2 linked regions of the Drosophila melanogaster genome follow. The protein of the gene in region 1 interacts with the protein of each later gene in a pairwise test. Each region holds a gene or a part of one and is shown on either strand. Other genes may lie near its edges. The genes, in order: Mccc1 and CG5577.

Region 1 (5,875 bases):
TTGACTTTGCAGCCGTTGCTTCACCGGCGACAATATATTTGTTGAGAGTGGATTGCTTCTTGCCGTCAGGTTTTTTAATCTTAGCGGGAGAATAACGTGGCATTTTGCCAATGAAAATTGTGGAGAAGTTTACGCCAGGGTCCGTCACGTACTGCTTGTATGCCTCTGGCTTGGGTCGAAGAAGTCCATCCACCCGCGATACATTGCTCTTTATAAACATACTCAGGTTTTCCAGGTTAAACTCCATGCGCGAGCGACGTAATTGCCTAAAGGGCAGATCAAGCTCTGCACTGGGATCGCCCTTGTTTGGTCGTAGTCTGTAGACCAGGTTGTCCGTGTCCTCATAGATACCATTGAGTGGTTCCGGCATATTTTTGTCCAACTTGACACCCAACACCGTGTACGTGGCGTTCTTCTTAGCTTGCACCGACACCTCCTCGCCGATAAAGTAGCGCTTGCGCAGAAACTTGGCCACTATCATGTTCAAGGTGTTGACCGCCGACTGTTGGGCGTGCTCCACAACCAGAAGGACGGGTGCCCGAAGGCTCTGTTTGAACTGCTCCATCTTCTTGCGAGCCGCCCGCTCACTTTTGACCGCCTCCTCGTAGGTGAGGTTCTCCTTGCCGGTGGCCTCGCACTGCCACACCGTTGAGTTGATCACCATCACGTGCCGGAAGTAGTGTCTGGATAAATAAATTTAATCGATCAGCGTTTTAAGGTCAATTTATTTTGATATAATTGAAGCTTGTCAGAGTAAAACATATTTAGTATGTTTGCTATTTATTAAAATAGTTTCGCGCTACCCAGCCTCTTAAATAATTGCTGATCTTAAAAATATCTAGAAGGATCATATAAGTCGAATTGGGTCAACAAATTCCAAATTCAAGAGCGCGCGCTTTGGCACCAGGTGGCAACTCCGCGGCGAGCAGCTGTGCGGCGGCAGCTGTAATTTCTTCCCGCCACCGAACAGCGTTTTTTTCGCCTTTGGCCCACGAGACTCGCACACTTATGCACCCCTGCGAACACACACACACACACACTGAATGGTGATGTACGGTACATCGTGTGCAAATGCTTTTGCAGCGTCGCTTTTGTTGTATACTTTAGCGCAGCGTCCACCTAATGGCAGGAGAAGGGAAGGGGCAGTTGCAGGAATGGTAGCAGGATGCACTTACTCATAGTCGCGAAAAATGCGCTTAGTGATGTAGCAGCAGAAGACCTGGTCGTTGTCGTGGAATGTTTCGTTCTTGCCCTCCTTCTGATTCAGGTCGAATCCTTCCCGCTTGCAAATGGGCATGTTTGGTGTTTTCCTTTTGCTCTTGAATGTCCTTAAGTTTAAATGGCAGTCCTTCGAAGTGCACGTTTAACAGTTCACAATAAAAACAACCGCGGAGCAACTGATAAATTTTACAACGCCAAGCGACAAGCGCAAAAGGCGCCCAACTTTTCACGCCTTTCCGGAGGGGCTTTCGATGCAAACGGTTTTCCAGCGATACGCGCGTTGACTTCCGACGCAATTATACAAGCTGTCGGCGGGCGACACTTTTCCGACAATTTCTACTATGTTTGTGGCTGGCTTCCTCAACACCAACTACCTAAATCCGTTTATTTTATAGCGCACAATCTATTTTCACGCGCATATTTTGGGGCCTATCGCTCTTCGACGTTAAACTATCGGTTATCGAGTTTCTGCGAACAATGTTACCGAACTTCACGAGCGCAGAAAACCGTAAGGACGCGGTCGGATGGATGTCAACAGTTCGATAAATAGTCCAGAATAATATAACGGTAATATTTTTTATGGGTTGCAACTTAAAAAAAACACAATATACGTAATATCAATTTCCCTAAAAGATATTGATGATATATGATAATCCCCAAAAGATATATGAAACATTAATATTTTCAACCATGCATCTCGTGAGTCGCCCATCTCAATTGCGATCTTGTGCGTGTGCGTTTTTCCAGCTGTGATAAGCGACGATCGCACACTTGCTCTGAATAAAGTATATTTGTTATTTATTCTTACAATTAATTCTACTAATAATGTACGCCAGACTGCTGCGAAACTTCGGCGCAAACGCCAGGTGAGGGAAATGATCGGCAGTTCTTTGTTAAGGCCGCTAAATCAAAAGACTTAATTTCGTTCTTGACGATTACATAAACCTTGCTAATTTGTTTTGGCTTGACGCAGGTGCTTTGCAACAGAAGCCAGCCCAAAAGTTCGGCCTATCAGCAAGATCCTTATTTCAAATCGTGGTGAGATCGCATGCAGGGTGATTCGAACCGCACGCAAGCTGGGAGTTCGTACCGTGGCCGTGTTCTCGGATCCGGACGAGAAGAGCATGCACACGCAGTTGGCAGACGAGTCGTACCGCGTGGGGGAAGCTGCCTCCTCGGCTTCCTATCTTCGCGGTGAACGCATCCTGGACATAGCCAAGCGTTCGGGCGCCCAGGCCATCCACCCAGGCTACGGCTTCCTCTCCGAGTCCGTCGAGTTTGCCGAGTTGTGCCAGCGTGAGGGCATCATCTTCATGGGTCCGCCCAGTTCCGCCATCCGGGACATGGGGATTAAGAGCACCAGCAAGGCCATAATGGCCGCTGCTGGGGTGCCGATCATCAATGGATACCATGGCGATGATCAGTCAGATGAGTGTTTGCAGCGAGAAGCCGACAAAATTGGCTTTCCCTTGATGATTAAAGCCGTCCGCGGCGGCGGAGGCAAAGGCATGAGAATCGCAGAAAAACCGGACGACTTCCTCACCGCTCTGAACTCAGCTCGCACCGAGTCCGAGAAGTCGTTTGGCGACAGCTCTGTGCTTCTGGAGCGGTACGTCCGATCTCCACGCCACGTAGAGGTTCAAGTATTTGCGGATCAGTATGGTGATGCTGTCTATCTGTGGGAAAGAGATTGCTCCGTGCAAAGACGTCATCAAAAGATTATTGAAGAGGCGCCAGCTGTAAGTGCACAAGAGCTTCGGCTATTTTAAAAATAATGCTCATTTATACAACAGCCAGGTTTGTCGGAAGATTTGCGTCGTGAGCTGGGCGAGGCTGCTGTTCGTGCAGCGAAAGCTGTGGGCTACGTAGGAGCTGGCACCGTGGAGTTCATTCTAGACAAAGAAGATCTCTCTTTCCACTTCATGGAAATGAATACCCGCCTGCAGGTGGAGCATCCTATAACGGAAATGATTACGGGCACCGATTTGGTTGAATGGCAGATTCGCATTGCCGCCGGTGAGCCATTACCCCTGAAGCAATCTGAGATTACGCGGCGTGGCCACGCATTTGAAGCTCGCATTTATGCAGAAAATCCTCGCGGAGGCTTTCTGCCCGGAGCCGGACCCCTGCGATATTTGTCTACTCCCCAACCATCAAACAACGTTCGCGTGGAGACGGGTGTCCGAGAAGGAGATGAGGTGTCTGTGCACTACGACCCCATGATTGCCAAGCTAGTCGTTTGGGGCGAAAACCGCACACAAGCGCTTAACTCATTGGTTGCCCGCCTGGGTGAATATCATGTGAGAACATTAAAAATTTGTACCTTTAAGACATTTCCCTAAAGGTAAACCAATTTTAGATATCTGGTCTGGACACTAACATTAATTTCCTCATCGACCTTGCGTCGCATCCTGAGTTTCAGCTGGCCAATGTGCACACTGGCTTTATCGATGAGCAGTTCGATACTCTATTTCCGCCAATTATCATCAGTCCGCAGCAAGTCAGCCAAGCTGCTTTGGCGCTAGTCTTAAACGAGTTGCAGGCAGCCTTTAGGAACGGAAACAAAGATCAGGATCCATTTGTTGCCACCCCTAACGCTCGTCTGAATTACTCTTTGGTTCGCAGATATGACTTGAAAGCCAATGAGAAGGGTAAACCACATATATAAATTTAAAATCAAATTGGTAAGCTTATTTAATCTTTCAGTCTATTCTGTGGCTGTCAAGTTTGATGGCGAGGATATGCAAATTCAGGTGGATAATGGCGACTGGCAGGATGCAAAGGTCGAAAGAGTTCAGGATGGAAGTCGTCTAAAAATTCGTGCCAATATCAATAGCAACGTCACCACATATAATGCTAGTATTGATGGCACTAGTGTCTCTTTGTTTTCGGAAGTAAGAATCTACTTTTCAATTGATAACATTTTGTATTTTGTATTTAATTGATTCCCTTTTCCAGAGTGGCAAGGTCGATTTTGAGGTGGGACAGCCGAAATTCTTAAGTGCCCAGGGCGATCAATTGGGTGCAGTTGGGTCTCGCATAGTGGCTCCCATGCCCGGGATTTTAGAGAAGGTGCTGGTAAAGCCCGGTGACAAGGTCAAGAAGGGCGAAAACTTGGCAGTGCTTATTGGTAAAAAAAATATAAATTTAGATTATACATAGTTTTAAAAACAGTTTTGCATTTTAGCCATGAAAATGGAACACATTCTAAAAGCTCCAAAGGACGCCACCATTAAGTCTATTGGAGGAGCCGCGGGCGATAACGTTGCTAAGGGAGCGGCCGTGATTACATTCGTCGACGAGGAAGTAGAAAAGTAACGGAATATGTTTCGAAACGTACCAGAGAGTTGTTGCATTTACAAACAAAATTATATTTTAAATATTAACTAGCCTGCTTTTGGTTCAGGGATCACGAAGTGCATTTATTATCGTTAAGTAAAAAAGTGTCCATCTAATGGAATTTTCTTATCTTTAACCCATTAAACGTCTAAAACTGTTAGCCATGAATTGTTTTTGTGGGTAAGTAAGGAAGCCAAAAGTAATGGTTTTAAAAAGTGATTTATTTGTTTCATTTTCGCTGAATTTAATGGATGTAACGAACATTAATTTCCCAAATGTAATACATCTTTGTGAATACATAATTTAAAATTGAGTTCCGTACAAAATCTCGCGGCATAAAAGTTAGACTTTGAGTTGATTGCTGTCGGTAAACGGAAACGGAAATGGAAACTGAGAGAAGGCATGAATGACATTGCGCGCTTTGCTTTCTCTTCGCATTTATTTCGCAACTTAGAACATAAAAATGTAATAAATGTTTAACAAATTTCACTTAATACAAAACACTAATCATTTAAAATATATGTACTTATGACCATAATCAAGTTTTCTTTATGCTCGTGTTGCTTTAGTCCATTCTGCTCTTGAGTTTATACTGTTTTGTTTTAATTAGCATCCCATTAAATCGGTTCATGCCGTTGAAATATGATTATGGAAACAGTTTCAGAGGCGAGTACTGAGTACTAAAGATGCAATTTGGTTTCTTGCCCTAATTCTTACAATCAGCCGATTCGTTTCGATTAGTTTTTCCTAGTATCGTATCTAAGTGTCCATCATTTTGATTTTTTTCGGTTAGTATAGTAAGTGTTGCTCGGCTTCAATACGTAATACATCATTTATATACTATATAAATACAATTATATGGTACTGTAAACGTGCAACTTAACGCTTCTTATAGATTATGAGTGTGTTTCTTTCTGCCTACGTCCGTTTCTGTGTAGTGTTGTGGGAGTTAGTTTAAGGTGTTCTTTTCATTTTTTTTTTTTAGATTTATACATTAAAAGGGACACATTTACAATGAGGAGAAATAAACATATCCCTTTTAATGCTTAACAAAACAGAAAACCAAACAAAAAATTGGTGTATTTGTTTATTATTAAAGGTAATTATAAAGTTCGATAGCTAATAAACACCTTTGCTGGTTTTGATCTCCTTATCTACCAGACTTTCGTTCCTTGACTCGCATCGCTCCAACCAAGTATCCTTTGTTAATATCTACGGATTCTGCTCTTTTTCTCGTATTTACCCATTAAGTCTCGTTTTCGACGGTGGGGATCCCCACTAGTAAACACCTGTCCACACCGTTCTCATTGTCAGG
Region 2 (5,198 bases), on another chromosome or scaffold:
CTCCTGGAATTATCCTCCGCCAAGGTGACCGAGTGGCTAGCAGGCTTCGACAGTGTAATAACCGACTGCGATGGTAAGTCGGTGGTGGGGATGAGATACTACTAACTCGCACCCACCCAGGATTCCCCCCAGGAAGTTGCGTTACATAAAGATATGTGTATACCACATTCTGCCCAAATACGTCAGCAGCCAATAGTTTCTGTATTGTGGCTGCGTCGTTTATTTCAATGTCAAAGAGTGAAGTGCGTGATATGGCGGGAAGTCGACTTTCGGATGCCCTCATATCTTGTTAATCATCGTTATATTTAGTAAAGAGTAAAGCAGTAAAGAGCCGTTTGATAAATTCCCTAATGCTCATAGTGATGAGCCCTAAGTTTATTAATATTAGACAATCTTATCAATTCAAGGAAATCGTTATTATATACGCAATATCAAAAGTTGTGTTCAACCCCATTATTTATTAATTTTATGCAATAATGCCTTCTTTAATCATAACAGCTTTTATTTCTTTTCGTTTATGTATCTTTGCGAAGTTACCAATTTACTTAATTGGAATTAATTTCAAACTGTCCTCTTTGCCTTTGAATGATTAATTTATCAATTTTAGAAATAAATTACCAACAATATGAGTATACTTTTTGTAGATATTGAGAAATCAATAACGCCCTTTATAAAACTAGCAATGGCATTAATAAAACTAACAACTACAAAGTGAGAACCTATTTAGCACCGTTCTTTTTTTAATTTTAAGAAAATTCTTCTACAATATTAATCCATTTTTTCACATCAGGTGTCCTTTGGATCTATGGCCAGGCCCTGGAGGGCTCTGTGGATGTGATGAACCAGTTGAAGGGTATGGGAAAGTCGATCTACTTTTGCACTAACAACTCGACGAAGACCCGGTCGGAACTTCTCAAGAAAGGCGTCGAACTGGGCTTTCATATCAAGGAGAATGGCATTATATCAACGGCCCATGCCACAGCTGCGTACCTGAAACGACGGAACTTCAGCAAGCGGGTATTTGTGATCGGAAGCGAGGGAATCACCAAGGAACTGGACGCCGTGGGCATTCAGCACACTGAGGTGGGCCCGGAACCCATGAAGGGATCGCTGGCCGAGTTCATGGCACAGCATTTAAAACTGGACACGGACATCGGAGCCGTGGTCGTTGGCTTCGACGAACACTTCAGTTTTCCCAAGATGATGAAGGCCGCTTCCTACCTAAACGACCCGGAGTGTCTGTTCGTGGCTACCAATACGGATGAGCGTTTCCCCATGCCCAATATGATAGTACCAGGCAGCGGGAGCTTCGTGCGGGCCATTCAAACCTGTGCGGAGCGGGATCCTGTAGTGATCGGGAAGCCGAATCCTGCCATTTGTGAGTCTCTGGTCACGGAGAAGAAGATCGATCCATCGAGAACTCTGATGATCGGAGATCGAGCCAATACGGACATACTTCTTGGGTTCAATTGCGGCTTCCAGACCCTGCTTGTAGGTTCCGGAATCCATCAGCTGAAGGACGTGGAGCGTTGGAAGTTGAGCCAGGATCCCGAGGAGAAGAAGCTCATACCAGACGTGTACCTGCCCAAGTTGGGAGATCTGTTGCCGTCGATCGTGAACAGCCTGACGGACTTGAAATGAATCAGTAATCAGTAAATAGTACGGACATGTGTTTGTATAGATTTTACATTTAACTTCAATAGACAGGAAAGATTATTAATACTTAACGCAAATTTATAGTGCAATTTATACCACAGAACAAAGAATATTTAAATAAATTCAAAAGCATTTTGTGAGACGGATGATTTAACCGATATGCCCGACTCAATTTGTTTTTCCGAGCGAGCTTTGTGCGAAAGGGAGATAGCAGATTTTCCCCAATCACCGTGAATCGAAATCAGCCAGCCCGTCGCCGTCGATTTAGTTGAGTCGCAAGCATTTGGCGAAGCGGTCTACGAAGCAAAATGTCCAGAGGCGGTGCTATCGACTTGACCGGCCTATCCGAGGAGCAGGTGAGCGAGTGGCTCCAAAGTTTCGACACGGTTCTCTGCGACGGCGACGGTGAGTCTCAAGGGCGGCTAAGGTGCCACAGAGAGAGGGTTCATTGGGCTTGTGAGTGCTGCTATGGAGCTTTTACCAGAGTTGTCGCTTCACTGAAAAAACAGAGTATAAAATATCGATGGTAATTTACATGGGTAAGGGGAAAAGCTTGGCGATCGCGGTAGCTAAAAGTTTACATTTCATCGGCCTGCTACATCGATTGTTACTGTTATTCATTTTGTAAGTGGATAACTTTAAACGTAAAATCGTTAATAATTAGAAAAAGTTGATAAGGCTTAACGCTGCTGAAATCATTTTACATTTTTAGGAATATATTTATACCTGATCAATAGGAATATGTTTATACCTGAAAATCTCTCTGATCTCTCGCAGATCATTCCAATTTAATGTATAAATTTCCCATGTACTATTGGGCTTACCAAACAGAAATTTCGTTCGTAATTATTTTAAAATAAAGCCAAAACTCGTGTTAATTCCAATATTATTTAGTTACTTTATAAAATATATCTCTCATTTCAAACCTCTTCAAATGACACCAAATCAAATATCCATTAAACGCACAGGCACCATATGGCAGGATGACACGGCCATCGCTGGTGCTCCGGATGTGGTGAATGCCCTGCAGGATCGATTTGACAAAAAAGTTTACCTGATTACCAACAATGGCCTAAAGACGCGACAGGAGCTCTTTGAGCGCTCCCAGCGCCTTGGCTTCCATTTACCCAGCGACCGACACATCATTTCGCCCACGGCGGCCATCGCCGACTATCTGGTTGGGAGTCCGAAGTTCGACAGGACCCGGCACAAGGTCTATGTGGTGGGCAATGCGGCCATTGCGCGGGAATTAAGGCAGCGCGGAATCGACAGCTACGGAGCCGGCGGAACAGATGAACTGCCTCCGGGCGACAAATGGCCGGACTTTGTGACACGCGAGTTTGGGAACCCAGAGGCGGCGAAGGACGTGGGTGCCGTGGTGGTCGGCTGGGATGAGTACTTTAGCTACTGCAAGATGGCGCGCGCCTGTCACATCCTCTGCAGTAATCCCGACGCCGCCTTTTTGGTCACCAACCGGGATGCCGTGCACAAGTATCCATCCTTTTGTATCCCCGGCACTGGGGCCTTTGTGGCCGGAATCGAGGCATGTTCGGAGCGTGAAGCCCTCGAGATGGGCAAGCCAAATCCATTGGTCCTTGAGCCCTTTATCAAGGCCGAGGGACTACGTACCGAGCGAACGCTTATGATTGGTGACTGGTATGCGGGATTAACACATCCTTTCAATCTTTCCTAATGAGTTTCTCCCGTAGCCTCAAAATAGATGTCGGTTTCGCCAGCAATTGTGGCATGCTATCGCTTCTGGTGGGCACGGGTCGTTACAATAATCTCTCGGATGTCCGGCTGGAAAAAGACAGGCTGCCCCAGCCAGACTTTTATCTGCCCCGTCTGGGCGATCTGCTGAACATTTTGTGAGCCATAAATCCATGGGACTCTCGCGCAGCAATCTACTCGTTATCAACTTCTTAATTCGACTTTTATTTGGCCTTAGTTGATGTGTTTACACATAGTTGTACATATTGTATCTGCCGGCAAGTACAATAACATTCTCTGATGGATACTTTTTTTACATATATAGAGTGGTTGAGAAATTGCTGGGTCTGAAAGTTATCCATGAACAAAACTAGCTAATAAATTTTGGAAAGACGACAATGCATATTGCACAAATAAATCACTAACCATTTGCGAATATTCATTTTTATGTCCGTCCCCAAATAATTTTCAGGCCCAATAACTTTTCTTTGAATTAACAATATAGGCTGAGTGACTTATTAAAATACTAGCTTAACCTTCTATTACTTGCCGGGTCAGAAAAGCAGAGACGGCAATTTCTTACTCGTTCCTATATCTTGGTGATCCCATGTAAAAGTTGTAATTTGCAATGAACTAAACAAATTGCTTAAATAAGTGCAAGTTCCTTGTGCTGTGACTTGCAAATCAATTATCAATCAACGTTAACTATTTAAGACACACACATAATCGAAACTATACAACTTATTGGTTAGCTGTACAACAAATTTACAGGACACCCATCGATGTGAGCTGCTAATTGTCAAAACAAAGCAAGCAAGTATCACAGAAGTTATATTTTTGGCGGTTTGCTTCCGTGTAAAATTGAAACAATCAAACACCTGTTTTCGAAAGTTTTTTACGATATTTTGACTGTTGAAGCACGACATTTTCGTGAGTGTCCGTTTTAACAAGTCCTCTGATATGTTAGAGTTGAGTTCTGTTTTCTGTACTTTAGCAATTTAGCGCGAAAAGAAATCCCATAAAGCGGTGTCACATTTGGTAGCAAATCAGAATAAGAGCGTAACTGAATCTGAAAAGTTAAACCCATCCCCTGCTTTTCCCAATCCCCCAACTGATTTTCCCCCCACGCCTTGTCTTAAGCTGATTTTAAACGATGCATGTGCAAAGATTTTATAGAATCGCAGTGTTTAAATTCCGCGACTCTGCGTATGCATCGCTTTCCATCAGCTTTAGTTGTAAGTTTGCCGCCGGCGATCGCTTAATGATTTCTTCGAGGACCCTGTCTAAATTGCTAAAAGGTAACATCAGGTGCTCGCATCCGGCGTGTTGGCCAAAATCCTTGAGCTCCTCGACAAGTAGCCGTACCAGTAGAACACGTTGATAAGGATGAATAGCAGTGGGAAGACGATCCTCGAGGCGCGATCGATCTTCGACACGGAATTGTACTGTGGCGTTCGTTTGCCCTTCCTTCGGGCCTCCATCTCCTCGCGTCGATAGTAGGACATCCTGCGGCGACCTCCAGTTGGAGGACTAATCCGAGCAGCCTGTGCAGCAGCTTGTGCCGCCGCAGCTGCCGCAGACGTGGTCGGTGCTTCGTTGGCCCTTAGCTGCGTCTGCTCGTCATCCTCATCCTCGTCGGAGTCGGCACGTGGCGGCTTTCTTCTTCGCCGCCAGTCGAAGAGACCCAGAAGCTTCATACTCCACAGACCATGACGCCTGTTCCGGGGCCTCCGATTCCTGGAGGTTAGCATGCCCAGCCGAGTGGGAGGCGGCGGCATGCTAATAGCGCACATGGACAGCGGAATGACTTCGTAGATCTTGGACTCTGTGCT

The links.
Region 2: the proteins of Mccc1 (region 1) and CG5577 interact in a two-hybrid assay, tested with the Drosophila melanogaster proteins (one large-scale study listed by BioGRID).

Annotation. Positions count from the first base shown.
Region 1 is NT_033777.3:31,789,790-31,795,664, reverse strand, and holds Mccc1 (Methylcrotonoyl-CoA carboxylase 1), read left to right. Parts: upstream 1-1,757; 5' UTR 1,758-2,046; coding exon 2,047-2,087; intron 2,088-2,194; coding exon 2,195-2,960; intron 2,961-3,014; coding exon 3,015-3,521; intron 3,522-3,580; coding exon 3,581-3,872; intron 3,873-3,927; coding exon 3,928-4,115; intron 4,116-4,179; coding exon 4,180-4,351; intron 4,352-4,408; coding exon 4,409-4,539; 3' UTR 4,540-5,073; downstream 5,074-5,875. Other genes in the region: Acf (ATP-dependent chromatin assembly factor large subunit), read right to left, coding at 1-683, 1,176-1,297.
Region 2 is NT_037436.4:17,838,150-17,843,347, reverse strand, and holds CG5577 (uncharacterized protein), read left to right. Parts: upstream 1-1,920; 5' UTR 1,921-1,964; coding exon 1,965-2,061; intron 2,062-2,624; coding exon 2,625-3,312; intron 3,313-3,365; coding exon 3,366-3,528; 3' UTR 3,529-4,670; downstream 4,671-5,198. Other genes in the region: CG5567 (uncharacterized protein), read left to right, coding at 1-73, 791-1,641; Grd (glycine receptor), read right to left, coding at 4,671-5,198.